Alligator mississippiensis: one gene and its partners. The protein of the gene in region 2 binds, or shares a complex with, the protein of the main gene of each other region. Links are inferred from orthologs where the notes say so. Each region holds a gene or a part of one and is shown on either strand. Other genes may lie near its edges.

What was found.
Region 1: RELA (region 2) and CHUK share a complex: the UniProt entries of both Homo sapiens proteins name them as parts of the 70-90 kDa complex. The link is inferred for Alligator mississippiensis from reciprocal best matches to the Homo sapiens genes RELA and CHUK.
Region 3: the proteins of RELA (region 2) and NFKBIB are in contact, whole or in part, in a crystal structure (PDB 1K3Z), measured with the Mus musculus proteins. The link is inferred for Alligator mississippiensis from reciprocal best matches to the Homo sapiens genes RELA and NFKBIB. Residues at the interface, in NP_033071.1 of Mus musculus: Lys218, Lys221, Ser240, Gln241, Ala242, Asp243, Val244, Arg246, Gln247, Asp294, Arg295, Arg297, Ile298, Lys301, Arg302, Arg304, Thr305, Tyr306, Thr308, Phe309, Ile312, Met313, Ser316, Pro317, Phe318, Gly320; in NP_001293151.1 of Mus musculus: Tyr53, Thr55, Glu56, Asp57, Asp59, Ala61, Leu64, Ala65, Ile67, His68, Gln69, His70, Pro72, Phe73, Phe76, Asn91, Leu93, Gln95, Leu100, Ile103, Leu104, Gly105, Arg125, Val137, Arg275, Leu283, Arg284, Asp306, Lys307, Leu308.
Region 4: the proteins of RELA (region 2) and NFKBIA are in contact, whole or in part, in a crystal structure (PDB 1NFI), measured with the Homo sapiens proteins. The link is inferred for Alligator mississippiensis from reciprocal best matches to the Homo sapiens genes RELA and NFKBIA. Residues at the interface, in NP_068810.3 of Homo sapiens: Arg50, His181, Lys221, Ser238, Phe239, Ser240, Gln241, Ala242, Asp243, Arg246, Arg253, Asp294, Arg295, Ile298, Lys301, Arg302, Arg304, Thr305, Tyr306, Thr308, Phe309, Ile312; in NP_065390.1 of Homo sapiens: Thr71, Glu72, Asp73, Asp75, Phe77, Leu80, Ala81, Ile83, His84, Glu85, Glu86, Leu89, Leu110, Gln112, Leu117, Ile120, Thr121, Asn122, Phe142, Arg143, Leu150, Gln154, Arg218, Asp226, Leu227, Gln249, Tyr251, Gln255, Leu256, Trp258.

Annotation. Positions count from the first base shown.
Region 1 is NC_081829.1:10,062,057-10,069,942, forward strand, and holds the start of CHUK (inhibitor of nuclear factor kappa-B kinase subunit alpha), read right to left. Parts: upstream 3,002-7,886; 5' UTR 2,985-3,001; coding exon 2,856-2,984; intron 2,565-2,855; coding exon 2,470-2,564; intron 1-2,469. Other genes in the region: CWF19L1 (CWF19-like protein 1), read right to left, coding at 6,543-6,687, 7,447-7,544.
Region 2 is NC_081838.1:4,258,215-4,265,748, reverse strand, and holds the start of RELA (transcription factor p65), read right to left. Parts: upstream 3,004-7,534; 5' UTR 2,576-3,003; coding exon 2,569-2,575; intron 1-2,568. Other genes in the region: histone acetyltransferase KAT5, read left to right, coding at 3,327-3,338, 3,418-3,484. UniProt on the Homo sapiens protein: NF-kappa-B is a pleiotropic transcription factor present in almost all cell types and is the endpoint of a series of signal transduction events that are initiated by a vast array of stimuli related to many biological processes such as inflammation, immunity, differentiation, cell growth, tumorigenesis and apoptosis.
Region 3 is NC_081838.1:1,160,084-1,167,468, reverse strand, and holds NFKBIB (NF-kappa-B inhibitor beta), read right to left. Parts: upstream 3,012-7,385; 5' UTR 2,922-3,011; coding exon 2,578-2,921; intron 2,488-2,577; coding exon 2,382-2,487; intron 2,292-2,381; coding exon 2,090-2,291; intron 1,961-2,089; coding exon 1,872-1,960; intron 1,342-1,871; coding exon 1,105-1,341; intron 942-1,104; coding exon 894-941; 3' UTR 1-893. Other genes in the region: SIRT2 (NAD-dependent protein deacetylase sirtuin-2), read left to right, coding at 4,096-4,111, 4,192-4,238, 4,435-4,486, 4,635-4,751, 4,964-5,005, 5,546-5,652, 6,008-6,064, 6,723-6,791 and 2 more. UniProt on the Homo sapiens protein: Inhibits NF-kappa-B by complexing with and trapping it in the cytoplasm.
Region 4 is NC_081825.1:256,790,726-256,797,992, forward strand, and holds the start of NFKBIA (NF-kappa-B inhibitor alpha), read right to left. Parts: upstream 3,004-7,267; 5' UTR 2,923-3,003; coding exon 2,690-2,922; intron 2,504-2,689; coding exon 2,395-2,503; intron 2,280-2,394; coding exon 2,069-2,279; intron 1,435-2,068; coding exon 1,346-1,434; intron 1,227-1,345; coding exon 966-1,226; intron 333-965; coding exon 285-332; 3' UTR 1-284. UniProt on the Homo sapiens protein: Inhibits the activity of dimeric NF-kappa-B/REL complexes by trapping REL (RELA/p65 and NFKB1/p50) dimers in the cytoplasm by masking their nuclear localization signals.

The DNA of each region.
Region 1 (7,886 bases), on a different chromosome or scaffold from region 2:
GCCCCTGGCTGCCTGTCATATGGCCCTGGATGTCTTGCCAAAACTCAGTAAGCGGCCCTTTGCCCGAAATAATTGCCCACCTCTGGTCTAACAGTTAAGGGACTGGAGTTGAACTATGTGCCACAATTTCTGCCCCTGTCAAGTGGAAATAACTCTTTCCTCCAAGGCCCAGCCCCGGGATACTTCAAGGATGTTTGTGATGCACTCAGACACTCTGCTGTTCAAGTTTGTAGATTGGGAAAGCAAATGTTTACATCAGGGGCATGTGAAACACCCAACTGTTTTCCAAAACTAAAAAGAAGGAACAAAACTTGGGCACACTGAGATCATTTCCAGTTGAAGTACAGACATCCAGGTCAGAATCAATCAAGTGATTAAAAAGACTGCATAAAGTAAACTCTCTCAGTAGTTTATTTTAGCTTTACTTCTACCTGGGAAATAAAAACCTAGGAGAGAAGCTGGTTTCACACTCATGCATTCCATCTTTCCACCTCAATAGCACCTCAAACAGGTTTTCCTACCTTCTTTAACCTTTTCCCAGCTAGTTCTTTCAAAAAGCTATTAACTCTGTATCCATTTTTAATGTTTCCTCTCTCTTCCTTACCCATCTCCCCCACATACCATGTCTCTCCTTTCTATCCCTAGCTCCTTTCATTCCTTCCTCTTCTACCCCTTCTTCTTGGTGGACTTTAATCCCTCTCTCCACCTTTAGTGCTAGTCTGGCCTTCAGAAGGAAGTTATCTATAGCCTGCCTATCCACAGAAGATAAAAATTAGGGAACTTCCAAGTCCCAGCAAGAAATCCTCCCTTTTCTTTTAGCTAGGGTGGTACAAGTCCTCTGTCTCTAAAGACAGGGTCTGCCCTTGACTTTCCTGAGGACTGTGACCAGATCCTGCATTCTTGTGGGACACCACCCAGGGGAACCTCATATCCTCTGACCACTCCCTCAATTAGTCCAAGTCACCCCTGCCCTCCCTCTCAAAGAGATTCTTGTGTCAAATGTCTCTCCAAAGTCCCACAGTCCATTTCTACTTCCAGGAAGTTCACCGCAAGAAGATGGATTGTTATAAAGCAGCAACAGACTTGTTCTTTGGAAACTGCTGCTAATGTGACAAAACTGCTCCAGCACCCCAATGATTTTCTCTGTGGGCCAAATATGCAGCTTTAACCAGTTAAAATAGAAAATTTCTGGAAGCGGAGTCTGAGGCAAACCCTATCTAAACCAGAGATGATATCCTTCCCCCACCAAGCCCTCAGTTCAAGGGAGCTGCTTTAAGCACTGCATAGTCTTATGCCAAGGTCACATCTGCATGCAGCCCAAAATTCTCCTATCAAACTTCAGGCTGCCCCAACCATGCTCTCAGGGCCACCAAGAAGCATTTGCTAGGAAGGCAGGGAACAGTGTTATCTGGCCAAATTTTTGTAATTAATTCTCCCCTACCCAAAGGGAGGTAGACAATCACAGCAGCCTGGGAATCCTACGGTGCAGATCAGCTGAAGCAGAGCCTACTGCTGCGTTTCCTGCTGGAACTGCCACTATAGATTTCATAAACGTTAGGGCTGGAAGGGACCTTGTAAGATCATCAGGTCCAGCCCCCTGCCCAAGGGGCAGGAAGTCAGCTAGGATCAAAAGATCCCAGAAAGATAAACATCCAAACGTTTCACGAAAGTGTTCAGAGTAGGTGCTTGCATCACTTCTGAGAAGAGCGTGTTCCAGACCTTGGGGGCTTGGACAGTAAAGAAGTTTTGCCTTACGTTCAGCCTAAAACGGCCTTGCAGGAGTTTGTGACCGTTGGACCTTGTCATCCCTTGGGGCGCTCTGGTGAACAGGCGTTCCCCCAGTTCCTGGTGCACACCCCTGATGTACTTACAGGCGGCCACCAAGTCACCCCTGAGCCTGCGCTTCTCCACGCTGAAGTCCCATGGCTTGCAGCCTCTCTTCACAAGGCCTGTTCTCTTGCCGTCTGATCATGCACATGACTCTCCTCTGGACTCTTTCAAGCTTCTCCATGTCCTTCCTAAATTGTGGAGCCCAGAACTGGATGCAGTACTCCAGCTGCAGCCTCACCAAGGCCGAATACAGCAGGAGAAACATCCTGGCTCTTGCTTGAGATGCGTCAGTAGACGCAAGCCAGGGTTTTGTTCGCTTTGCCAACTGCAGTATCACACTGGTGGCTCATATTCATCTTGTGGTCAATCATGACCCCCAAGTCTTTCGGTCACAGTGCTAGCGAGTGTAGCACTGCTGAGCCTATAAGTGTGATGTGGTCCATCCCCTCCCCGCTGAGGTGGAGCACCCTGCATGTCTATCATGGCCGCTCTCCAAGTGCTTCTCTGGCTACAACAGGCCACTGCAGACAGGCTAATCACCCACCTCACAAGTGAAGACTGCTTATGACGCACCGGTGCCCGAGCCACACGCAGTTCCCCCTGGATGGGAAGGGTAATAGGAAGCAGAGGCAGACTTACTTTTTCATGATCTGAATTTCATGGCACCACCGGTCCTTGTTTTTCACACTGAGCTCCAGACGGCAGGATTTAATCGCCACCTTCTCACCGGACTCCTGCAACACAAGAGCTGGGGGTGACTGGGCAGGCCACCGGGAGGGAAGGGGGTCACCGCTGGGGTCTGTTTCATTTCACCCCTTTCTCTGTAGCCTTTTTCAGGACAGTGGCACAAAAGCCAAACTAATTAGCAAACCAGCTGCATGCAGCCACAACGAGCACCCCTGGGTCCAGCACCCACCCACTGGACCGCGGGGGCCCCGGGATCCGCGCCCGGGCAGTGTTTGCGCAGGAGGGGGGGCAGGGGCGGTCTCCATGGCAACAGCCCCGGGCCCCGCCCCCGGCCACACCTGGTGCTGGTAGAGGCAGACGTTGCCGAAGCCGCCCGTGCCCAGCCGCTCCCGCATGTCCCAGGGGCCGCAGCCGCCGCTCGGCTGCCCGCGCAGCGCCGCGCCCACGCCCACGGCGCCCCGCTCCATGGCGCCCCCCTGAGCCGCCGCCCGACCCCGGCCACGACCCCGACTCCGGCCAGCCGGAAGTCAGCGGCTCTCGCGAGATCTCCTCCGCGAGAGCCGCCCCGGCCCTGAGCCGAGCCCCGCCCTGCGCTTGTACGTCACAGAACCGCGTCCTCCCCCAGCGGCCCAGGGGGCGGGGCTGGCGCCGGGCGGCCTCCAGCTATCCCACCATGCACTGCGTTCAGCACAGGCAGCTGGTGGGGGGCCTCACCCAAAGGCCTTGGGGTGGGAGCTGATGCAGGCCCGGGAGCCCTCCTGCCCCAAGCACCTGGTGGTGGGTCACCTCACATCCTGCCAGCAACCAGCACTGGGGGCCAGGGGAGCAGCATCATGCCCTGACTTGGCCCCTCCCCACGCTGCCAGGGCCCCTGCGCCCTGGCTTGGTTTAAGGCACAATGGAAACCAACCACAAACTTACCACCATTTTTGTGCCAAATTTGGATCTGTGGCTGAAGGACTAGACTCTTAAACCATCCCCGAGTCCCATCAGTGAGCCACGGCTGAACGGAGAGATTGTTCCTGCCACCTTAAACAGAGGGATCCTCGAACAGAGGGATCGTTCCTGCCACCGACATACTGCCCTGCATGACAATTAACCAGACATTTTACTTGCTCGCCTCCCAAGGACAATATCAGAGCCCCCCCATTGCAACCAATCTCACGTGTCCCATGCAAGCAGCCTGCCTCACTGCTGTGGCCCCTCCAGGCTGACAAGACCAAGCACAGCAACAACTCGGTCCCAGAGGAGGGAACTGATCTCGCAGTCCGGGGTCAGATCGACGTTCAACATGCACGCAGCTCCAGCCAGCAAGATAATAGCGTGCATCAGAGGACCACAAGGGAAATGGCAACTCGATTATGTGACCGTGGGTGGACCCGGTGCTGGTCTCAGTGCAGAGATCCCAAGCAGCAGGTCACAAAGACGGAAGGAAAAACAAACGGTTGGGTGAATAAAGTCTCGTGTCGCCACTACGAGGCACCATCACACATCTTTGTTGTCAGCAACACAGCAAACCTGAGGGGCACCACAGCAGTTCACACTGAGGACTTGGCCATGACCAGTATCGAACAGACACAGCCCTCCCAGGCCAGCACATCCACCCTGGTAAGTCCCAGCCCTTTCTACTGCCGCTGGTGCTCCCCCAGGAAGTTGATATGGGCTCAGACAACTACAACCAGGAGGTTCCTGCATCCTACTATATTCAGCATCCTAGCCACCTATCCCCCTCAAGCAGTGATTCTCAACCAGGGTGCCAGGGCACCCTGAGGTGCCTTGAGATCCTTTCAAGGATGCTGTGCAATGTTAGCACTGTTAGGTGTGCAGATGTGATTCATGAGATAACTCCAGAGGTTTCAAGTAGGAATCCATAACATTAAAAGTATTCTGACTCGTTGTGGTCTTTCTGAGTTCTTTGGAATAGAAAAAAACACCAAACACTCTATTTTTCCGTTGTCAGAAACAAATGAAAACTTAGAACTGGCATTTTCTGATGTGCGTCTCAAGTCTATTAAGTGATGCTTCAAGACTAAAAAGGTTGAGAACCACTGCACTAGACAGACCAGGTACTCCAGAAGAACCAGCTCTCTACCTCCCTGTGCTAGTGTGAGGGGAGGGGAGTGGAGGCTGGGAGGGTAAAGTGGGGCTGGGGCAACAAACCCAACTAACCCCCCCAGCCCAGCACAGGGAATGCAGGGGGCTAGCAGGTTAAGCTGCAGACCAAATCCAGCTGCCTTGAGTGGAAATGGTCCCCCTGCCAACACTTCCCAACTCCAGCCTCATTCCCAACCCCCTTACAGTGCTAGCCCAGCAGCACTCAGCCAATGATTTGCCCCCAACCCCCTTGCCACCCAAGACAGACCGGGCTTATAAATGCCCCTCCAGCATCCCCCACCCCTGCATGAGCTGAAAAAGACTACATGAACCATTGCATTCAGATTACACTGTTTACTGGGGTCTGGTACTTCATTACAAACATATCAAGTGTTTTTGACAACAGACAAGAACTGAGGGATGTGCAGAATGGCAGGGTCTCTTGGTCCTTGGGTTCTGCACCACAGAGCTGCTCCCAGCACCATGCCCTGTGATGAGCTGAAGGGGGGCAGAATGGGGAGAGGGGGAGCATGAGTCAGAGCAGCAGCACAAATGTGAAGGACATTGAAGCACAATCCCTCCTGCAATGATTTTACCATCCCCATCCAGTTACCATTCTCCACCCACCCACTTAAAATTTCACCACCCACCACTTTGAACAACCAGTGGAGAGGCCCCATCTACAGTACACTTAAGTCATGACTTAGCTGATTAATCATGTCTTAAGTGGTCACCCGGCCACATGTTCAGTTACTGGCATGATTAAAAAAGAAAAGAAAAAAGCTAGGAAGTTATTCTACAAAATTTGTAGCAACTTTGCAGCTGCACCTATCATGCCATTACTTAAATGTGTAGCCAGGGGGCCCTGTGACTAAGAGCCCCGTCAGCTGAGCAAAGCTCCTAGCTGCAGGAAGCCATGTGTACCCCCATGGCTCGGAGCCCTGCCAGCTGAGGGGGCTCCTGGCTGCAAGCTTGCTTCTTGCCCATGCAGGGGGAGCCTGGGATTGGGTTCCCCCTGCACCAGCAATAAGGCATGATGGGATCTTATCCATACCACAGTCACACCTCCTGCAAATGCACATGTAGCACAGCTGGACAGGTGATTGTGCATTAGATCCCACTGCACCCTTACCTGAACCAGAAGAGCAGCCCAGAAGGACCAGGCGTTGTGCATGCTGGCCATAGTCTGCCTGTTCTCTCAGGCCCCCTGCAGCAGAAGGGCAGCAGTATACTCAGCCACCTTGTGAGCCACTTTAGAAACAAGATACGTTTCAGTGGTGCGATTTCTTTGCTGAGAGACATGCTGCAGTACACCCTGAGCGACACCAACTGCATCATATGTTTCCACACTCAGGGCAGTGCAGTCTGGGTCACTGCAGATGTCAGGTCTGCTTAGGCCACGGCAGCAATCTTGCCACCCCCCACCAGCTCCCTCCTGATAATGTCCTTTCCTGGACCATGTGCTCACCCATGACAACTGCTCCAAAATTTATCTGACTGTGGCAGGACCAGCCTTGCCCCAGCCCCACAGACAGGTCCTACGCTATTTGTGTACCATCAACACCACTCCAGGGCCTCAGCTGCATCCAGCACTGCTTGAAGCTTGCCTAGGAAACCAACCAACCAGACCACAGAGAGAAATAGAGTTTATTCCTTTGATTAAAAATCTCAGCAAAAAGTACAGCCTGCTCCAGGGCTCTGGTCCTCCTGCTGTCAAATAGACTAAGAAGGGAAATCCTTTGCCCCATTATGCCTTGCAGTTGGACTGTTCACTTTTAACCTCAGTTCTGCACAGGAGTTGAGTCAGACCAGAGCGAAACTCAGCAACAAGTACAGTGTTAAAATGAATGATGGTGATGAACAGGAACAGGACAGCAGTGCTCTTGGCAAGACAGTCCTACCACTGAGTGCTTCCCACTGGAAAAGCAAAGTTACTGCAGCAAAGAAAAGTCAAAAGGTTCAAAGTCCTCTCGAAAGGCTTTGGACAATGCCTCCTCCTCTTCTCTGGTGGACTTGCACTGCCTCCAGTCTGCCCGATCTGGAATATTCAGGATAGCTTCACTAGCCAGGACTTCCCTGTAACCAAAACAATCAGCTGCAGAACTGTTGCAATCTTTGAAGTGCAAGCACATTGCTAGAAATAATAAGACTACAAAATCAAGTACTGTGGGGGCTATCTAAAGACTCATGTTGAATTTAATAGAAAAACTGCCATTTAATTCACGGGGAACGCATCTGAATTGCATTTGAAAGGAAGCAATTCTTATTATTAATTTAGAAATAGGTCTATATAGAGGCATTACCTGCTTCTTTGCTAAAAAGGACAATTTACTGGTAAAAAGTAAATGCAACTAAGACAATACTTTGTACAAACATGATTCTTAATCTCCACACTGAACTTTTCCAGTTCAAACATTTTAAAACGATTTGAATGTAGGGACAGAGATCAGAATATCAAGTAGCAGGTGCACAGAATTTTTGCAGAGGGCAAGAAAATGCAAGCCTCATTCTTTAAACGGAAGGTCTTCTGGTAGTAAGCACAAATATGGGAGTCAAGAGATGTGTATTCACTCTTTGCCATCATACTGCTCTATGATATTGGGTATGTTTGTAAATAGGGATAATACTTACCCCACTTTTGTGAGCGATTGAGATCTAAAACAAAGATTAAGCTTAATAACTTACTGTAAATAAGACAAAGTAGCTGGTAATTCCAGGTTCTACGTATCCCCAGCTTCCTTCTCAATGGTTATTGGTTAAAAAAAAGTATGGGGAGCATATTCAATACATATGTTGTTATTTTACACAAAAGAATTAAGAAGGGAGAAAACAAACCTTCCAAACTGCAAGGGAAAATTTTTCTTAATACGATGAAAAAGCTTCTCCCCTGTATCCAGTTCAACATAAAAATATGGTGTTCCTGGCTGTGCAATCTAGAATAGGGAAAGGAAAGAAATTCTGAAACATTAATCCGCATTTAGCAGACTGACAAAGCTTGGACTCTGAGAAAAATGTGAAAGATGCCAATTATGTAGCTGTTGGTCATTTCCTGTGAGAAAAGCAAGTAGCTGATCTTTAACCACATACCGTTTCTATAGTTCAACTATAATTCCATCCAAAGTACCTGGAAAAAAACTTGTATAAAAGTATGTAATGAATAAAGTAAAAAAATGGCAGTAACTGACAGGAGAAGCTAGAAGAATCAATAGGCAGAAATAAAAACCACGAGATGATTCATCTTTCCAAAAGCCATTTTTTTATCCAGTTCCTATGAG
Region 2 (7,534 bases):
ACCCCGCTATGACATACGTGAGTAGACAGGCAGTTGCCATGTTAGTCTCAACTCAGCCTCAAGTCAGGGCAGAGATGCACCTTTAGAGACTCACCACAGTGTGTACAGACACCCCCCCCCCAAAAGAGATACTTCTCCATCTTTATATCCATCTACATCTATTTTTACATCTCTCTCTATTTACTCTTCTCCCCGTCTGTTCCTCCATCTACCTGCAGCTCTCGTTATCCACCTTCATACTCACCCGCAGTTTTCTATCTCTATTTGTCTTTACACCTGTGCTCACCTTCATCTACCTACATGCACATCCATCTATCTTTACATCTGCAAATACCTGTACCTATACCTACCTCTCTATAGCTACCTCTATATATGTCAATACCTGTATCAAAATATACTGACCTCTATTTTTTTGTCTACACTTGTATCTGTCCACATCTGCCTATACCTATCTCTGTTTTTCTTCATATCCATACCTATATCTATCTGTATATCCGTCTATACCTGTACCTACCTACCTGTAGCTATCTTGATATAGCTAGCTTTATATCTGTCTACACCTGGATCTTTCTCTATACAGCTATTTCTATATAGCTATCTTTCTATGTCTATATCTACATATCTATACCCGTTCCTATTTATCTAGATCAGTACAGGTATAGATAGATATATCTCTATCGCTACTTATCTATCTTTATATCCAGGTATACCTGTATCTAGCTATATTTATCTCTTTTTAGCTATCATTATATTTCTCTATACCTATATCTAGCTATCTACACCTACTTTTATTTCTCTCTCTTTATATCCATCCATATTTAGGTATCTTTACACTGGTCTGTACCTGCATCTCTCTATCTACACCTATATTTATCTAGCTTTATACCTGTCTATACCTGATACCCAGATTTAGGTCTAGGTCTCAGTCTCTACTTCTCCCTGTCCCAGTGAGTTTATCAGGGGCCGACTCCCTGCCGCCTACCCAACTTCAGGCTCACGCGGCGAACAACGTCTCTAACCAGCCGGGCCCCGGGTCTCCAGCCAGCTCCTGGAGATCTCCAGGGATGGATCCCCCCCCGCCTCTCTGGCCAGCCTGCTCCAATGCCAGATCCCCTCAGAGCCAGAAGGGTCCTCCTTGTCTCCTGCCTCTGTTTCCCCTGCAGCAGCTGCCAGAGCCCATCCCGTGCTATCCCCGCCTTTGTCTGCTCTTCCCCAGACTCAATCCCCGCAGATCTCTCCCCCTCCGCCCGTCCTGCGTTGCTCTGCGCTGGCCTCTCTCCAATCCACTCCCCTCCTTCTTGAAGTGCGGGGCCCAAAACTGGACCCAGGACTCTGGGTTCATCGTATCACATGAGCATGCGTGCACACGCTGACACGCAACGTCCTGCACACATGTCCCTGCATCATGCACATTATCTACAATATCGTACATACACATGCGTGCCCCTATACTGCACATACCCACACATGCCTGTTTTACATCTACCTGTGCGCAAACATGTGTGTGTGTGTACGCATGATATAGGAACATGTATGGGTAGATATGATATAGGGACCCGTATGGGGGGGGTGTGTGTGCGCACAATATAGGAACACTGGTCCTTATATCACAGACATGCATACATATCATTTTATCGTACATACCCACGTGTCCCCCTGTATCGCATGTAACCATACACACGCGGGATCCTATACTATGCATACACACATGTATACACGTCCCTATATCGTATGCACGTGTGTCTTTATATTGTACGCACCCGCACACGTTCCTATTGTGCGCGCGCACACACGTCCCTATCCTGTATACACGTCTCTATATCGTATGTACACCTGCCCCACAGCGTACATACGTCCATATCTCATATGGACACATACACACGTGTCCCTATAATGTGCACACCCAGGAGTGTACCTGCCCTGAATGCATACACACGTACAGCCCTATGTCGTAGGCATGCACACTTCCGTACACACACAGCCTGGGAGCAGCGCATGACCTCAGCCTGGGAGCAAGGCTCCGACTGCCCGGGGCCAAATCGACCCCAGGGTCCCAGCTGGGCCGGGACGCCTGGGCGGGGAGCGGGGCTTGGGGGCCCCGACGCCTGGGCTCTCCCGCGTCCCCTCCCCGTGACACACGCACACGCCCCTCTCCAGCCACCAGCACAAGAGCGGCTGGTGGCACAACGCACGTCTCCAGGCCGGAAGAGACGGTCGGGCAGAACCGAGCCCGCTCCGCTTCCCGCGCGCGCGGGGGACTCCAGGCCTCCGGCTCTAGGCTCCCTGCCCTGCTCTCAGCCCCGGCCCCCCCAGAGCTGGAGGGAGCCCCGGCCGGCTCCGGCCCTTCCTGGCAGACAATTCCTCTCCCCCCACCCCGGCCCCTTCCTGGCTCCCAAGGGCCCCGCCGCATCCGCATCACCCCAGACTCAGCCGCAACCCAGCAAGCCTGGCCCCAGGGCGGGATCTGCTGGATGGGGGGGGTCACCCCGAGAGCTCCTGGGAATCCCGTCGCCCCCCAGCCCTGCACCCACCCGGCGCAGCCCCACCCCGACCCCCGGGGGCACTCACCGTCCATCGGGGCCGCGGGCGGGTCCTGGCAGGGTGTCACGGGGCCCCGCCGCCCTAGAGGGGGCAGGGACTAAGGGGAGAGGTCCCCAGGCTGGGGGCGGCGCTTAAGCCGAGGGGGCGGGGCTGAGTGTATGGGGGTCCGAACCCCAACTGGGGGCTGGAAGGGGCGGGGCTTCGGTGAGGGCGGGGCTCAAGGAGAGGTGGGTCCTGGCCCCCCGGGGGGGGCGGGGCCGGGCCGGGTGGGGGAGGGGGTCGCTCCCGCCGTGGGATCGGGGCCCGGGTCCGACTGCGTCGTCGCCGCACGCGGAAATGCCCCACCCCATGTGACCGGGCGCTGCTGGGAAAGCCCCGCCCCTCCGAGGCCGCGCCCCCGGGCATGCAAATCTAGCTGAGTGACGTCGCGGGGACCGACCCCCGCTTCCTTCCACGCCCCCTTCCATGCAAACGAGGGCGGTGTCGCCGCGTTCCATCCCCCTCCCTCCACGCCCCCTTTTATGCAAATGACCACAGAGCCGCAGCATTCCATCCTGCCTCCCTCCACGCCTCTTTATGCAAATGAGCTTGGCGTCATCGCGTTCCATCCCCCTCCGTTCCCCGCCAGCAGAGAAAATGTGGCCTCCGCGGCGCGACCGGAAGTGACCCTGCCGCGTCCCGGAAGTAGCCTACGGGGAACCCGGAAGTGGTGCCCGGCCGCTCCCGGAAGTGGAGGCGGGTGGCTCCCGCCGCTCTCCCCCTCCCCCCACAGCGAGAGGCCCAAGATGGCGGAGGTGGTGAGTGGGGGCCGGGGGGCGCGGGGCGGGATCCCGGGGGGGGGGGCAGGACCCCGCTAACGGCCTGTCCCGCCTGCAGGGGGAGGTGTCCGAGGGCTGCCGCCTGCCAGTGTTGCGCCGCAACCAGGAGAACGAGGATGAGTGGCGTGAGTGACGGGGTGGGGCCTGGGGGGACGGGGTGGGGCTAGGGGCACGTCGGGGGACGTCCTGGGGCGAGGGGCGGGGCTTAGAGAGGAGGGGGCGGAGCTACGGGCACCTGTCCCGGGAGAGGCGGGGCCTAGAGAGGAGGGGCGGAGCCAAGGGGGACACATGGGGGGTCCAGGGGGTTGTTGGGGCAGTGACCATAGCAACAGCACCCTCCCATGCAACCTGGGGCTCCCACGGCCCCCCCCCACTCCCGCGGGGCCGGGGGCCGAGGGGTCCAGCGCTGGCAGGGACCAGGGGTCCCTCGTCCCCGTGCCGCCACGTTGGCTCCGCTGTCCCGAGCCTGGCACTGGCCTGACCTGCGTGCGAGCGGCCGGAGCCTGGCAGGGCACGGGGGCCGCGGAGCCGGGGGCCATGTTTCGTCTCCCAGCACCTCATCCTGGGCCCAGCTGCAGCAGAGCGCGCAGGATAACAGTGCAGCTCCCACACCCGCGGGCGGGTCCCTGCCAACAGCCTCTTCCAGATGGAGAGGGGCCGGGGGGGAAGAAACACGCCTGCGGTCGCTGAGTAGGAAGAGCTGGGGCTGGAGCCACGGAGCTCTGCCTCCGCGACTGGTGGTTCTCAGCCTTTTTTGTACCAGGACCCATTTGGAAACATCAGTGGCCGGTCCCGACCCACTGGCCCCCCCTGCCCCTTGTATGAGGTGGGAGAAGTGTGGGGTGGGGGGGGGCCCAAGCGGCCCCTGGCAGGCTGGAAATGTGCCAGCCTGCGAGGGAAAAACCCCGGTTTCCCACGTTTTTCCATTTTTAAAGTTTGTTCACGTACAACCCGTCATCTGTTCTTGCAACCCGCTCTTGCGTCGTGACCCACGGGTTGAGGAACGCTGGCCTGCCGACCACATCTCAGCACTGGGTTTCAGGCCACTCGTCCCCTCCCCGAGCTGGAACGAGCACCCAGGAGTCCTCGGTGCTCTTATCAGGTCCAGGGGTACTGCTGTGCCAAGTAGCCCTTAAACGTCTGATGAAGTGAACTTGGATTCAAAAAAGTTTGTGATTATACACCCACACATCATATTATCACCATCTTCATCATCATTATTATATATTATATATCATCATTATTATATATTATATACACACGCACGTGTATGTATCATTTATATAGTGTATGTGTACACGTGTATTTATATTATATATAAATATATATATATACACACACCTATATTGTATCTACTATGCATGTGTAAGTATATATTTATATGGTATACACACACAGATTTAATGTATCATATGTATAGTTATACACAAATCATTGACATATACATATATAAGCACACCCATCATATAGATTCACACGTACATTCTATATATCGTGCGTGTGTATTTAGTTAGTCAGTCCATAAAGGTGCGTATCTACCCTGCCTGCTAACAGTCTTCACCTTCCTTCAGCTGGGACTAGAACCCAGGCATCCTGGGCTTCCAGCTCTAACCCACTGGAAACCCCCACTCCACTCCCAGGAGTCCTAGCCCCTAATCCCCCATTCACCCCACATCTTTTTCTAGAACTAGAGTTGAATGCAGGTAGCCAGGCTCCCAGCTCCTAACTGCTCCATCACACCAGACTCTACATCTGTCCCAGAGCTGGGCTAGAACCCTGGTATTTTAGCTCCCAGGCCCCCTACTTTAGGCTACTGAATGCCATGCCACTCTCAGCTGGGACGAAACCCAGGAGTCCTGGCTCCAAGTACCTTCATTTATAATAAACTCAACTGCACACACATTATTTAGTATACGACTGTAGGGAAGTCAGGCTGGAAGGGGCCTCACCAGTTATCTGGTCCAGCCCCCGGCTCCGGCTGGTTTAGTCGGGGACAATCCTAATCCAGCCAAGTGCATCCAACATTCTCTTGGTGATCTCTGGAGATGGAGACTCCCCCACCTCTCTGGGCAGCCTGGTCCAATGCTCAACTCCCCTTAGAATCAGAAGGTTCTTCCTCCTCCCCTACCCCAGTTTCCACTGCTGCAGCTTGAGGAAGTTGCTGCTAGTCCCCTTCCTTGTGACCACAGAGAGAGAGCCATCTTCATCCTCTTTCTCATCATCATTTGGGGGTTTGAAGCCTGTGATCAAATCCCCCCTCAGTCTTCTCTTCTGCAGCCTTGATCCCCTGAGTATTTCCAGCCTTTCCTCATCAGTCCCGCTTCCCAGGCTGCTCCTCATCTGTGTTGCTCTGTGCTGGGTTCCTTTCAATCTGTCCACCTTCTTGAAGTGCGGGGCCCAAAACTGGACATAGGACTTCCGGTGATGCCTCCCCAAGGCTGTACAAAGTGGAAGAATCACTGGAGTTGCAAGCAACCTTCTTGTTAATACAACCCGGGAGGCTAATGGCTTTGGCTGCAGCAAAAGCTCACTACTGGCTCCTGCACAGCTTATGATGCATTCAGCTTTGTTGTCCAACTTTAGTCAGTGTGATCTGTTGGAAGAACAGAACAACGGCTCCAGAGGACCGCTGGCTTGGCCTACAGAACTGGGATAAGCCCGAGTTCCTCTGGGAGGAAGGTTGTTTCCCAGTGACGGCTAAACAGAGCATTTTTCCTGTTGCCACAATAGTCCAGGGAACACACAAGAAGCAAGAGGGGTTGGAGGATGCTTCTGACCTGACCATTTGTGTGCCCCAAAGCTGTTTCTGACCCATCTCCTGACTCTCAGTGCAGTCCAGGAAAAATGTAATTGCCAGAACAGAGAAAGCACCTGTTTCTCCCTGGTCCCATCTTGAGCAGAGAAGAAATCAGGCTGGGCCAGATGCTCAGAAGATTGCATCCAGCCCAGCCCCCTGCCCCAGGCAACACCAGCCCTGGCTGAACCATCCTGGTTTGTCCAACACCGTGATTCTCACCCGAGCAGCAGCAGGGTGCTGCAAGACCCTTTCAAGGAAGCTGCACAGTATTAGTACTGGTCTGTGCCCAACAGCTGACACAATTCACCAGAGAAACCCAGAGATCTCCAAGAGGAGCCCAGAGCATCCAGTCCCTCCTGCCCTGCTGAGTTCTTTGCAGCACAACATTTGCACTGATATTTTTCCATAAGAGGTGAGCGAAAGCAAAGACTCAGCCTTGCCTGAGGAGGAGGGTGCGGAGGGGAGCCAGGGGTCTGATGAGGTTGAGACCCACCAGTCTGAACCACCCCTTCAAAAGTTCAAGACCAGATCCTCACACAGCGTTCCCAGCATGGAGCCAGTGATCCTCAAGCACCAGCTTTGCTGGACCGGGCACTGCGCAGACACCCGATGCTCAACTACCAGAATGAGTGCTCTACTCCTGGAACAGTAATGGCTTGAGATCTCGCGGTGGCCAGAGGAAACGCTACGAGATCATGTTGAAGGCAAACCTCCAGATAGTGGGCGCCAGCACCAAGAGCTGGGAGGACCTGGCTGCTGACGGTCTCCAGTGGCATCGCAACCTCCACCGGGGGCAGCCTCTTTTGAGGGAAATTTTCTTGCCTTCTAAGCAGAGGAGAGAGAGCGGAGGAAGGAAAAGGCGGGGAATGCCAGCCTGCAGCCTGCTCTCCCGCAGAAAGGTCTGCAACATCTGCGGACAGATCTGTGGCTCAAGGACTGCACTCTTAAGCCACGTCAAGACCCATCCATGAACCATGGTAGAGCTCATCCTTGAATCGAGGGATGGCCACCAATGACAGCTTGAATTTGCCCCAGGCAAAGCCTTAGAATCGTAAAACACGAGGGCTGGAAGGGGCCTCAGGAGGTCACATCTAGTCCAGCCCCTGCTCAGAGCAGGACCAGCCCCCAAGAGCTTTGCCAATGGTCCTGCCTCTAGAGAACCAGGAAGGCACAGGTTGAACTACTGCTTAGATCCATTTGGAGCGGCACGGTTGGGTCCCTCAGTGCAGGGTCCCTGCTGGCCACCTAGCAGCTGTTGGCTCACATTCCTCACAGCCTTCCCCAAAGACGAAGCAAGGAATGTTGGAACAACTGTTCCAGGCACGTTGATGAGTCTCCCATCAGCCAGACTCCCATCTCCGACAGCCCCCGCCACCAG
Region 3 (7,385 bases), about 3.1 Mb from region 2:
TGAATGGGGCAAGAGTTTTAATCACGTGCCCCCCCCCACCCAGCCACCCACCCTCGTTAACATACACAGCACAGGGCAAGATCCAGACAAGAACAGGACAGGCACGCAGACACGGACCACGCAGACGCACGCTGGAGTGGTAGGAACGACACGGGGGGGCCACACCACACACAGAGAAGCTGGACGCACACGGAGAGGAGACACACACGCCCCTTTCCCTGGGGCAGGGCCGAGGCAGGGATCGGCAGCTCCCCGCCTCCAGGGCTGGAGGAGTTGCAAGGGGCGGGTGGGCAAAACCTCCCACAGCTGACGGAGCAGAGACAGAACCCGGTCCTCCCCCTGGGCACCACTGTGTCCACACTGGGATAGGGGACCAGTCCAGCCCAGTATTGGGAATGGTCTCTCTGGTCTGAGAGCAGCATTTCCCTGCCCCCATGTCTGCACAGCTCGGGGCTGAGAGGTGGAAGGGGCAGTTCGGGGAGGGATCCCCGACTTGTGCCACCGCTGGAAGGAGATGGGGTTACTAGAGCCCAAAGGTCACGGGCACGAGAGCCCAAGAGTCTGGGATCCTAAAGCGGGGGGGCGGCAATCGGCACCGCTCTACAGACCTCAGGTCTTTGGCAGCCGAGATCTAGAGCTGGTAGCCGCCGCGGCAGGGGCTCCTCTACACTAGGGCAGGCAGGTGCTGGCGAGGTAGGGGCCAAGCCTGCCCTGCCCGCGGCACAACAAACTGGTCTCAGGCCGGCAGGAGATGAAGGGGCCCCAGAGCGGGCAGGGGACGCGTTGGGGGTCCGGGGGGCCACTGGCAATAGCAGAGGCCGGGCCGGGCAACGAGGCTGTCCCAAATCCACCCGCAGAGGAGAGGAGAGGGGGGCAGGGGAGACCACCCCCCATCAGTTCTTATAATATCCACTGTTGATGATGATGTCGTCATATTCATCCTGGAGGGAAAGGGGAGAGACGGAAGGAATTAGGGCGGAGCAAACGACTGAGACCTCCCCAACTCGTCTCATTAACGGCTGGGGGGGGGGGGGATCTAACCACTAGGAGCTTCCCACCCAGCCCCCCCGGGGGCAGGAGGGTCCCCACAGCCGCCCCACTCACGTCGCTGGCGTCGTCGGGACTCTCCGGCTCCGAGTCCCAGTCGGGCTCCTGGGAGCCGAAGTCCCGCAGCAGCTGCGGGATCCTGCGGTCGGGCCGGTGCAGGGCGCTGTACAGGGGCGTGTAGCCCACGTACATGCGGGCGCCGGGGTCCGCGCCGGCGCGCAGGAGGCACTCCACCACCTCGGGGCACTGCGCTTCCACCGCCAGGTGCAGGGGGCTGCGCCCACAGCTCGGCTCCTGCCGGCACAGGCCAGGGAGGGGGGGAGGGGGTGGTAACGCCCAGGGGCAGATCTGGAGGTGGTGGGGGGGCACCCCCCGTCGACCCATCTACCCAATCTGTAAACCCAACTGCGTGGCAGGGGCAGCCGCGTTTCTACCCAGGCAGCCTGGACTCGACTGACTTCACCGCTCCCTCGTTCCTGCTAATCCCTTTGCTCCGCAGGCGTTAACGACCCTCTCTCCTCGCTAACGATCTCGACATTGACTGTTCCAACCATCCCGTCCTGCCCTGCCGGGTCCCCCTCCCGGACGCCGCAGACTCCCCATCCCCGGAGGGGCTCCCAAGTCACGGCTCGGGCGCGATCTAGCGCAGCGATGCCTCGCGGGACTAACGAGATGCCTTCTTGTGACCGGATTTTTCTAAGCTTTCTACCAACAAGCGAGGTGGACTTAACCCAGCCCCCCTCTGGGAGTAAAGCCGCTTTTCTCCTCGCGTTACGTCGGCTGCGATCTGCCTACAGCAGTGCCGCCCCCCTGCCGGCACTCACCGCCTTATCGAGGTCGGCGCCGGCGCCCAGAAGCAGCTTCACCATCTCCACGTCCTTCTGCAGCACGGCCACGTGCAGGGGCGTGAAACCTGCGTGCGGAGCGAGGCGCGGGATGGACGCCGGCCTCGGCCGCCCCCCCCCACGACAGCTCCCCGGGGGCAGGGGGGTGGGTGGGTGGGTCGGGGAGGGGGTGTGCCCCCCGCGGCGTGCGCGCGTACCGTCGTAGTTGGCGCAGTCCAGGTAGAGGCGGGCGCCGGGCGGGGCGAGGAGGTGTCGGGCGCAGTCGCGCCGGCCCTCGCGGCAGGCCAGGTGCAGGGCGGTGCGGCCGCCCTTCTCCCGCAGGCCCAGCCCCGCGCCCGCCCCCGTCAGCTTGCGCACGAAGCCGGCGGCGCCCAGGATGGCGGCGATGTGCAGCGCGGTCTGGGGGAGACGCGGGGGTGGGGTGAGGTGAGGTGAGGTGAGGTGAGGTGGGGGGCGGGGCCGGGGGCGGGGCCGGGGGCGGGGCCTCACCTGGCCCAGGTCGTTCTGCAGGTCGAGGTAGGCGGTGCCGCGCGCGAAGTGCAGGATGGAGTCGAGGAAGGGCTCGTGCTCGTGGATGACGGCCAGGTGCAGGGCGCTGCGGGGAGGCGCAGGTGGGCGGGGCGGGGTGGGGTGGGGGAGGGGAGGCAGCCCCCCGCCCCCCGCCCCGCCCCGCCCCCACACCTACGTGTCGCCGTCCTCCGTGAGGAAGCCCAGCACGTGGCGCAGCCAGGCCTCGGGGGCCACGGGCGGCGGGTCGCGGAGCCGCACCGACCCCACGCCCTGCGCCAGCGCCCCCACGGCCGCCGCCTCCTTCTCCTCCTCCTCCTCCTCGTCCCCCAGCGCCGAGTCCAGCCGATCCCGATCCCGCTCCCGCTCCCCGCCGCCCTCGGGGCCCGGCGCGCCCGGGAGCGACAGCGGCCCCTCGCCTAGCGAGCCCAGCCCGCTGTCGCACCACTCCTCCGGGCCCGCCTTCGTCTCGCTCTCGGCCTCCACGCCCCGCTCCGCCTCGGCCTCGGCCTGGCCCGACATGGCGGCAGGGGCGCCGCAGCCCCGGGCCCGCTGCACCGACGGGAGAGGGGGGCGGGGCAGCTCCCGGGGAATCCCCGCCGCCCACCAATGCGCGCCCGGCTTGTTGCGGGGTGGGCGGCGCGCGGGGCAGGCCGGGAGGACGGGTCCTGGCGCGGGGCAGGATGGGAGATGGAGTCTAGGTCCTAGCGTAGGGCGTGATGGGGGGATGGAGCGAGAGGCATCATGGGAAGTGGAGTCTGGCTCCTGGCGCGGGGCATGATGGGGGGTGGAGGGAGGAATGGAGCGTGGGGCATGATGGGAAGTGGAGTCTGGATCCTGGCGCGGGGCATGATGGGGGATGGAGTGCGGGGCTCTCCGCCCAGGGCGTGAGGGGGGAGAGGGGACTGGAGCGTGGGGCATGGTGGGAAGTGGAGTCTGGATCCTGGCGCGGGGCATGATGGGGGATGGAGTGCGGGGCTCTCCGCCCAGGGCGTGAGGGGGGAGAGGGAACTGGAGCGTGGGGCATGATGGGAAGTGGAGTCTGGATCCTGGCGCGGGGCATGATGGGGGATGGAGTGCGGGGCTCTCCGCCCAGGGCGTGAGGGGGGAGAGGGGACTGGAGCGTGGGGCATGGTGGGAAGTGGAGTCTGGATCCTGGCGCGGGGCATGATGGGGGATGGAGTGCGGGGCTCTCCGCTCAGGGCGTGAGGGGGCAGAGGGAACTGGAGCGTGGGGCATGATGGGAAGTGGAGTCTGGATCCTGGCGCGGGGCATGATGGGGGATGGAGTGCGGGGCTCTCCGCCCAGGGTGTGAGGGGGGAGAGGGGACTGGAGCGTGGGGCATGGTGGGAAGTGGAGTCTGGATCCTGGCGCGGGGCATGATGGGGGATGGAGTGCGGGGCTCTCCGCCCAGGGCGTGAGGGGGGAGAGGGGACTGGAGCGTGGGGCATGATGGGAAGTGGAGTCTGGATCCTGGCGCGGGGCATGGTGGTGGACGCGGGGCGTGAGGGGGGAGGGGGGAATGGAGCGTGGGGCATGATGGGAAGTGGAGTCTGGATCCTGGCTGGAGTACGGCTCTCACCGCGGGGCATGATGGGAGCTCTGGCTGTGTCTCCTCCCGTCATCCCCCGTGGATGGCTCCGCTTCCGGTGACATAACGCGGGCCCCGGAAGTGCGGGGCCCAGGAGCGGGGCCCATGGCCGAGCAGGAGGGTGAGGCCCCGCCCCCGGGTCCCCCTGCCCCCTCCCTGGGGTCCCCCCCTCCGTGACTGACCCCCCCCCTCTGCCCGCAGCTCCGGGGGCCGCAGACGCGGGGCCAGGCCCGGGCTCCGACTCCCCGGTGAGTCCGGCGGGGCCCAGCTGACCCCTCCAGCCCCAGCTTGCCCGGCTGCAGCCCGAGCCCGCTGCCCCTCGCCCCTCGCCGCTGGTTCGGCGACCTGCGACGTCGCCTTTGTCTCAGCGGGGCGGGGGGCGGGGGGCTGCGCTCTAAACCCGCGGTAACGGCGCGCTCCGCTCCACTCCGCTCGTCTCTTCAGGACTCGGACTCCGACTCGGACAGCGGCGCCGGCGCCTCCGGAGAGTCCGAGAGTGAGTGCTCGCACCCCGGGGTGGGGGGGGGGCGGCTGGGAGGAATTTCGTGGCTCCTGCATGACCCCCCCCAGCAAGCCCCGACCGGCAGTGCGGTCTGTGAAATGGGTCCGTGCGCGGCGGTGACGGCTGCCCTTCCCCTCCGCAGTGGAGTTCCTGCGGACCCTGCTGTCGCGCACGCTGGGCCTGGGCGGCGAGGGGCCGGAGAAGGTGCTGGAGGAGCTGACGCTGGAGGGCGTGAGCCGGTTCATGCTGAGCGACCAGTGTAAGCCCCCGCCGGGCTGGGACGGGACCCGGGCAGGCGGACGCTGAACGCCTGGGACCCTCCCCTCCCCCTCCGGGTGTTGGGCCCCCGGGGGGGGCGCTTACCCTCGACCCCAAGGCAGCACGGAGGACCCTGCTGCGGGCGAGGGGGGGGATGGCGCTTGTACCCGGGGCGGAAGTCACCCCCCCGCCCCACCCCCGTTTATCTCGCAGGCAAGAACGTCGTGTGCATGGTGGGAGCCGGGATCTCCACCTGTAAGTACCCCGGCTGGACTAACCCCCCGCGCTCCTGGGGTCAGGGGTCAAGCCCCCCCACGCTCGCTGCCACTCGCTGCAGCCGCTTCTGGGGTGCAGCGCAGCAGCTGTGCGTACGGGGCTCACTCCCTTCACTCCCCCCCGCTGCCCCCCTTTGGAGCGTACCCCCGTTGGGCGGGCAGCGACCGGATCTTCTCGCCTACGACGCATGCTTCCCCCCCCGCCCCCCACCCCAAACCAGCTGCTGGAAACGGGCACGAATGTGACGCGTGGGAAATACGGTAGCACGGTAAGAGCTGCTTCTGCCGGAAAAAGCCGGGCGGGCACTTTGTTCCGGGGCACGTTACACATGAGGAAACGTGAGGCAGGCAAACGCGGCTGAGTCTGGGGTGGAGCGCGGCAGCTGCGGGTAACACCGGTGGGGCCAAAGAGAAGATCCTTATGGGACCCCAGCCCACTTCTTCCCCCCCCCCTGCATCTCGACCCCCACCTCCAGCCAAGGCGCAGGCCCCTGAGCTGCCTCCCCCCGGTGTCTCCCAGCTGCGGGGATCCCGGATTTCCGGTCGCCGGGCACGGGGCTCTACGCCAACTTGGCGAGCTACAACCTGCCGTACCCCGAAGCCATCTTCGACATCCGCTTCTTCAAGGTATGGGCCCGGGACCCTCTTCCCTGCGCCCCTTCGGCCAGGCACTGTGCTCCCCTGCCTCCGCTCCCCTCCCCTCCCCGCGCACATCTGGGGTATGCCCCCGAGGCCGTACCCACAACAGACACCCCCCGGCCCCCTTTCTCCCAGGTCAGGATCGGTCACCCGCAGGGCTGGGGGACCGATAATGAAGCTGGGCAATCTCGAGGTGGCTCTGATTGGGGGGGGGGGGGCTTTCCCCCTAATCAGGGCTCAGAGTGTAGCCCGCTCTCCCCCCACGGGGGTAGTAGTGATGTGGGGGAAGCTGTTTAAAGCTACGCGCCCCCAGAGACTTGGCCGTTTGCTTTTTTCCACGCAGAAAAACCCCGAGCCGTTCTTCGCCCTGGCTAAGGAGCTGTACCCGGGGCAGTTCAAGGTAAACCCACCCTGCCCCAGCCCCGAGGCGCCTGGGAGCCAGGATGCCTGGGTTCCCTGCGCAGGGAAGGGGCTGGGGGTGAGAGCAGAGCCAGGACGCCTGGGTTGTGCCCCTGCTTCTGCAAAGCGGAGGACCTGGGCCCCGGACCCCTGGGTTCAGTGTGGCGAGTTGTGCCCCATTTTGGAAAACCGCCCAGGTCCCATCGGGCCCAACCCCCACACAGCCTGGCGTCTGCCCCCTGCAAGCTCAGCTGCCCCATGGGGCTGGGGGGTCTCCAGCCTGTCACCCTGCCCTGGGCTGGCCAGCAGCCCCGACTCCTCTGGGATCGTTCTGATGCCGGAGCTTGCTTGCGTTAGAGCCGTGACCTTGCAGTGCCAGCCTGCCCGCACCAGCCCCCACCCGCAGCAGCAGGGAAGACCCTGCCAGTGCTATCAGCTGCGTCTCACCCATTCCCCCCACCCCCCAATGGGCCTGGGTCGAATATGTGCCTCCTTGCTGGGCAGCACTGGGTGGGCAGGTGGTCCTCACCCCTCCCAGCCGGTGCCCAGAGCCTCCTGGGGTACAAGGGCTGGACTTAAGGGAGTGGGTGCATGGTTAAATTGCCCTTTCTCCCCTATGGGGGGGGGACACGGAAGTGACTGTCCCCGCTCTTCCCCAGCCCACCGTGTGCCACTACTTCATGCGCCTGCTGAAGGAGAAGGGGCTGCTGCTGCGGTGCTACACCCAGGTGAGCGAAAACCCCTGGGGTGGGGGGCATGATCAGTGGCAGGGGTGGGCAGTTTCACCCCAGCTGTGCCCAGTCATTCCCACTCCCCCAGCCCTGTAAGCTGGCCTGGGCACAGGGCTCATGGCTGGGACTGCCCTTTCTGTGCCCCACAGAACATCGACACGCTGGAGCGCGTGGCCGGGCTGGCGGCCGAGGACCTGGTGGAAGCGCATGGCACCTTCTTCACCTCCCACTGCCTTGGCACCGCCTGCCGCAAGCAATACAACCTGGACTGGATGAAAGGTACCGCGGCCGCGGGGGTCCGGGGGCTCGCCGGGTCCAGCAGCTGCCTTTGCCCCCTGATGGGGCCTGTCGACGGAGGGGAGGTGGGGATCTCTGTCCAGCCTGGGGGTTTCAGAGCTCCTGTAGAGGAAGAAACAGCTGATCGGCCCCCAGAGCAGGTCGCGTTGTGGAGCCCAGAGGAGCTGAAAGCCTTGAGGTTTTCCTGGCTCCTTGTTAGCGATCTTCTCGTTAGCCATTTCCTGGACCTCACTGGTCTTATTTCCTTTGTCTCCTGTCAGAGAAGATCTTTTCCTCCCTGGTCCCCAAATGTGA
Region 4 (7,267 bases), on a different chromosome or scaffold from region 2:
TGCATGTTCAGGTAAACTGCAGTCTGTCTTCATACTGATCATATATTAGGACAACCAGTTAACTGAGAAGTGGTGTAATTCGTCACAGATTTCTACTGATCTTCTACGTTTCTCCCATAATTACAATGCAGCTCAGAACATGAATCTTGCTGTTATAGTCATGTGCTCTGTGCTGTACAGTGTATTTCAGTATTTTTTTTTCACATTTCTCCATTTTTTTAAAAGAAAGTAAGTCTCTGTTATACATATGTACAGACTCATGTCCTTTCTGAGAATACTCCATTTTATAATGCCAACTGTCGTCCTCCAATAACGCAATCATCATACATCAGCTAGAAGGGAAAAGGAAGAGTATAAGTCAATGCAATACTTTTATAGGAAACACTCAGATCTACCCAAAGCAAAATCAGGTCAAGCTCTGCTAGTCTCAACCTCAGTATCACTGCTCACACAACTAAGGTAAGCAGAATGTAATCTTTAATCTGAGATGACTTGAACACCAACATTCAATAACAACCATATAATTTCTTAAGGCTGTATTGTACTGTAACATTAGTTTTATCACTCTTCTTTCCCTTAACAAGATCCTGATCATAAAGAAATAAAAGTGCAACATTTCACAGCACTTTGGAATCACTGTGAATTTTGCTTCATTAAGGCCCATAAACAGTGATCCAGAAATGACATCTACATTTAAGAAAAATTATTGCAATAGGACTGGGTGTCTAGTACTCAAGCCCTTACTACTGGATTTCTAATGCTGGCTATTGTAACCTCTTAGTCTGCCTTGATTGTATATGATTTATATCCAGTGTGGTAACAGACCAAATTTTGTATCCCACCAAAATATCACCTCCCAACCCTAAAACTTAAGGGCATCAGGTGTGCATATTTCCAACAACTTTAATGGAGGCAACTTGCATAGAAGGTCCTTTCTGCAATAAAAGGTGAAAATAAATACTTACTTCATCCTCTGTAAATTCTGATTCTGATTCGCTGCTTTCCTCATCCTCACTTTCTGGCAGCATTTGTAGGTCTGCTATGGTTAACTGCTTCAGCTGTTCTTGTATGATGGAGCTGTCTCTTCCCCATGTGAGCTGGTACGGAGAATAGCCTTGGTAGGTCACTTTATTCACATCTGCCCCGTGTTTCACCAGAAGTGACACCAGCTCTGAATTCTGCAGGTCTACAGCTAAGTGTAGGGCAGTTCTGCCATTACAAGGTTCCTGTTCAGAAAAATAAAATAGGATATTTAGTCTCAGGAGTTAAGTGTGACAATACAGAACTGTGTGTTCTTATGGCTGTGCTATCACATCCAGTTAAACCAAGAGCTTCAAATACCCACCTGAGCATTGACATCTGCTCCTAAGGACAGCAAACATTCCACAATAGCCAGATACCCTTGAATAGATGCCAAATGGAGACATGTATGTCCTGAAAGGCAAACACATTTAAACATTAATTACTTCCCCCATTACACATTATCACTCACTCAGATCTAAATTCCTTTCTACCCTATATAATATTTTGGTATTTGAATCCACTGCTCCAAATCAAAGGCGAAATTTTTATGTGAACCAGAGTGCTCATAGAATAGGAGGCTCACATCAATTTTTTGAAGAACCTTATTTCTTAGATGCTTTACTTAAAAAAAAACAAAACAAAAAAAAAACAAAAAAAAAAACCCAACAAAGAACCCAAAAAACTGAAAAAAGTCATCTTGATTTTCCACAGTAGCTTGTTTAACCAAACAAGAAAACATCCAAAATGTCAAAATTAAAATAATATAAGCCAAAAAACCAAAAAGAAAATCCCCACAGCACTAGATGCTGGAAGTTCAAGTGCCAAGAGTCAGTGGACAGAGCAAAGACTGGCAGGCAGAACTGTGACTTATCCCCAGCTCCACTGAAGAGAGACTTTAAGGAAGTTCCATTCCTGCCTCAGTTTCCACATCTGTGAAATGGGAATGACGAGGCTGGCACGTTTCTAAAACTCCTTTGGTTGCAAAAAGCCAATGCCCTCTCTAAGGGCTGTCTATTCGAACTGGCGTAAGCTGCGAGCAGCGTACCATTGTAGTTGGCAGCCTGCAGGATGGCGTGCAGATGGTGCGCCTGGCAGTACTGTGTGAGTACCCCCACGCTCCTCAGGGAGCCCTGCTCACAGGCGATGTGCAGCGGCATGTTTCCACGGAAGTCCCTGATCTCAGGGTCGCATCCGGCCTTGAGAAGGGCCTCGGCGATCTCAGGCTGATCCGTGATCACGGCCAGGTGCAGCGGCGTCTGGGGGCCAAACAGGACAAGAGTGGGATCAGCCAGGTGCCAAACGCAGAGCAGGGCCCAGCCCGAACCAGCCCAGCCGCCCGACCCGCCGGGCCCAGGGAGGAGGGGCAGGTACCTGGCTGAGGTGGTTCTGCAGGTCGAGGAAGGCGGGCTCGGCCCGCGCCTGCCGGATGGCCTCCAGGCTCAGCGCCAGCTCCTCGTGGATGACGGCCAAGTGCAGGAACCTGCGGGGGAGGGAAAGTCCCGGTGAGGCGGCGCGTTGCGCAAGGCCGGGCTTTCCGGCGCCGGCCGGGGCTTTCCACACGCCCTGGCCGCGCTCCAGGGACTTTCCAGCGGCTCCACCCGCCCGCCCCGGCCTCCGTGCGCGGGGCCCCGGCCCCGACCCCGACCCCAATCCTGGCCCCACTTACGAGTCCCCGTCGTCTGTGAGCTGGTGGCGCCAGGCCGGGGCCGGCGCGGGCTGCGCGGCGGGCAGCTGCAGGCGGATGTCGCGCAGGTCGCGCACTAGCTGGTCGTAGTCCTCCTCCTTCATGGAGTCCAGGCCGCTGTCGTGACGGTCGTCCAGCGCCGCGCGCTCCTTGCGCGGCACCATGGCGAGGCCGGGGCCGAGGCCGAGCTCGGGGCAATACGTAGGGCTGTGCATGGCGGAGTTACGGCTACTCACGGCTCCGACGCTGCCAACATCTGCGTGCGGGCGGCGGGGCCACGGCGCGGCATTATAGGCGCGGGCGGAGGCGGGGGGATTTCTGCGGGGCGGGGCCTGCCCGGGAATTTCCAGCGCAGTCACCGCCAGGCCTGCTGTGCTCGGCCCGGCCTGGCCTTGCTGCTGCTGCAGGGCGGCGCCTCGCCTGAGGAATCCCCTGGCGGGGCCGAGCCTGGGGGTTTTTTCTGTTCAGCTGCAGGGGAAGGACGTCCCGGCTCGGCCTCGGCCCCGGCTCTCCCTGTGTCCCCTCCTTTGCGCCTGGGCTTTCCCTCAAGCTTTCCCTCTGTGGCAGGGGGCTCCGTGGCGCTGGGCCCCCTCCCCGTCCCGGGGCCCACTCTGTGCCCGGCACAGGCAAGTGGGAGCGGAGCAGCTAGCGCAGCAGCCGGAGGTCCTCGGTGGGGTTCTCAGGCCTGACTTTTCTGGAGGAGGCGGCACCAAAGCAATGTCTTGTCCTCAAGGCTGGACACAGGCATAGGCAAATCAAGCGACTGGGCCCAGACAGAAAGGGCACAGTAACGATTATTATTATCATTATCTCTAGCACAGGGGGGCCCAATACTAAAAGTTTGCCCAGGGCTGCCAGGAATCTAGGTACAGTGCTGCGCTGCCCTTCTGGTCACAAAGCTCACTCAGAAGCAGGGGGATGACCTGGCCAAACTCACTGTGACATGCAGCTCCCCTGAGTGCCACTCAGGCTGCAGCAGGGGCCTGAGCTGTGAGGCAGCCGTGATGCTAAGCAACTGACCTGTTGTGCAGGTGGTCCTGAGCTGCCCAGTCTGTTCCATGTCAGTTTGGTAACATGGTACTTCGGTAACAGGCTTTTGGTTTCATTAGGTTAGGACAAATGACACTACTGAGATGTATGGAACAATGATTGCACAGATAATAAGCCTAGCTACCCCGGACCTCAGAATTGTCTGTGGAGTCTGACAAGCTTTTCAGAGATCTACTTTGCGCAATTGCAGACTATAAACTCTTCTCTACTTGTGCAACCTACTTGGTACAGGTACTCTCTCTAGGGGGATTCACCTTTGCCCTCTGAAGTTTGTACTAAAACTCCAGCCAGCGTCAATGCAGTCAGATGAGGCATAGATAGAGGAGTTCCACTTCCATTCCTGTAGGTCTAGTATCAGTCAAAGGTTAAATTCACTTCTTTCCCAGAGCATATGTATTCAAAAGAACAAATGCTGTTCAAATTGGGAACAGTGACTTCTTTTAGCCTTTATGCTGTTCACATCTCTCCTTTGCTGGAAGTATCTATTGTGTGCAGTGACATTCACTGGTAAAGGAATAACCAAAACCAAAAGCTCCTAGATTGATAAAAGATACTTCTAGCCGTACTGGCAGACATGTAGAATTCAACAAGCTAGTTTGGCTGGGATCATTGACAAAGCTTGCATTTTTTCCTCAGATTTAGGGGGTTTTCCAAGAGGTTTTTTTCTGCAATTGTAGCTGACGACACTGAGTAATAACATCTGAGAATTTTCTCTCGTCTTCTTCCCTTGGGATGGCATTCCTGTGAAAACATTTATGAGAAAATCCAAGGAGAAGTGGGGGGTCAGTAGAGAAGGCGCATATGATACGCCAACTTAATTTTCAGGCCAGAAGTAACATTACTGGACTTTTTCCACACACTTATAAAAAGTAACAATATTCGTCACTAGGCCTTGGAGAACCCAGTGGTGGTTTCTTTGGGCAGGTTCATAAAAGTTCCACAACAGTTTCTTTCTTAATTTAAGAGGCATGAACCTTCAATGTGTTTCTTGAAACAATTTTTCTTCTTCATTTAAATCCTTAAGCAGGAAATTATTTTTTAAGGAAAATCTCTCTAAGTAAATTGAAACCATTGCTCTACAAAGACTAAAGATTCTTGTTTAAAGGTGAATCTTGCCCTTGTTGTTATGATGGAGGAATAATACACAAGAAGAATATGGAACCCCACAATCAGTTTTGCCAGAATCAACATAAATTTTAACATTTCACATTCCAGTTTAAATGGATGACTTTGGAATTAGCAAAATACATTCTCCACTTCCTTCCACAACTGAAGTTGTACAGATAACTGAATCCCTGGACATTCTAATTTTGTTCAAGTCTTCATCTTTAAGTAAGTTTCATCAGTTTGAAGCAAACATAGGTGTTAGAAGAAGAATGGAAAATTATTTCTTTATGGAAAGTCACATCAGGGTTAACCTACTTCCTGCTCTATGGAAATGCAAATGCCAAGTTCTCACAGATGTTTCAGGCTATCATATCAACTCTTTAAACAAGCAAAAGTTTAGTTTTTGGAGGTTCCAGTACTAAAGGTGCAGAGCTGCACATTACATGATCATAACAAACATCAAAGCATGTGAAGTTAGATATTTTGAGCTCTCTGAAGACAACCTCTGCTCTAACTACATATAATATATCTGAGCTTCTCTGTTAACTTGATTCACTCAGTTGTTAAGACATCTGTGTTGCTGAGTGCCTCCAGCTTAAGTAGCAGCTTCAAGACTTGATTTCTTTCACCTATAATTGCTAAGTATAAGGCATCCTCAATTTAAAGAGGACAGCTGGATTGTTAGTCAGGGCATATAGTGACATCTGCTGGATCTTTGTGGAGTATCATTTCAAAAGGTTTGTTGGGACTGAGCGGGGTGAGGAAGTACTTCATATGGTAGCTGTGACTCAATATAGTCTTGCATTTTAGTGCTCATCTAAGGAAGATTCCAGCTAGGTGCAGCATAGGAAACCTGACCAGAATTTTTGCATCTAAATACAGCCCAAACAAGGTGATTGAAGCTTTGGGATTTGATTGGACTCGCACAGCATAGAATGTTGTGATTAGATTTGTTCATAGTGAGAGAGGTTGAAATTTGTTGTTATTATTCATAGTAGCAGCAGTAGTAATAGCATATTTGGTTAAACCTAGGGGAGTCAAACACAGACTGGGACTCCACTGTGCCAGGTAGACCAAAAGACCATCTGTTCTTCAAAGAAGTTAGAATCTCAGTATATGAGAGACAATAGATTAATTCAGATGGATGGATGGAGCGATATTTAAAATGAGATAACTATCACAACTAAAGACATATACAGAATACAGTTTTACAATGGTACAAAATTGTATTAAAGAAAAGATTTTAAGCAGTGATGCAGAATATTGACTCTTTCAAGCATAAGCATTTTTCCAGTAGGTTATTTATAAGTTTTCTTTACTGGGTGCAAGGATAATTGATTGAAATGGAAACAAATGAACTTTATCACCATTTTCTTAAACAAATATTTGTACTTTTAGCTGTGTGGGCTATATTGCATGCCTATTTTCACAGGCAGACTACTAACTCAATATTAAAGTTTGGGACAGAGACTTGGATGGGGATTTCAAATGGAGCTGAGTGGGTGGGTGCAGGGACACAACCAAGGTAACTCCTGCTCTCTCAGGGGCTGAGAGTCTAACTGCAGCGCGATGCAATGGGGTAACCTTGGGAGAACTGAAGTGAGTAAAGACACTGAGGAATTATGGATGCTGAGAAACAGCAGCTGAAGGAGAATTCAGGCTTGGTACAAGTGAGACAAAGTCAGTGGGAATGGGAGTCATTGACACCAAGCTTGAATTAATCTTAAATCCTGATAACTCTCCTCTTTTGATTATCTCTTGTCTCACTTTCTCTATTTTAGCATCTATGAAACAATTTCAGTGACATTCATCTATTCCTTATCTGCTCCTGTTTGAGAGGTGATTCTGACCTGGTGTCATTTTCAGCTCAGACCAGTACAATACTTTCCATGATGAACTGGCTAAAGGGTGAAGTGGTATCTCATTCAGAAAAGGATTTCAGAGATCTTCTAAGTGCCTTGGTTTTCCCTGTCACATGGGGATAATAATACAGGGAATGCTTTGTGGAGAAGCTACTGCTTATATGACTCTTTGGACTTGTACAAAGCTCTTTAAACAACTCTGTGAACATATATCCATGAGAAATAATATTACACAAAGTGGAGAAAAAATATGATACCTAAAGGCTGGATTCAGTAAAACCTGTTCACCTCTGGGTGGCCTGAGAACTCAATTTTTAGTATCACTGTGCCAAAGAAACCATATATTTGTATTGACTCTAACTCCCTTAAAGTACCTGAATGAGACTTTAAAGCAGCTTTGGGGGCTAGAACACTGAAAAGAGACAGCATGATTTTCATCAGTTTTAAGGTAGATGAAGTGTTCTCGTGCCACTTCCATGAGCAAATGCATTAGACTGTGATTTCCTGATTTCCACTTTAATAGTAAGAACTGTCTGGTGCT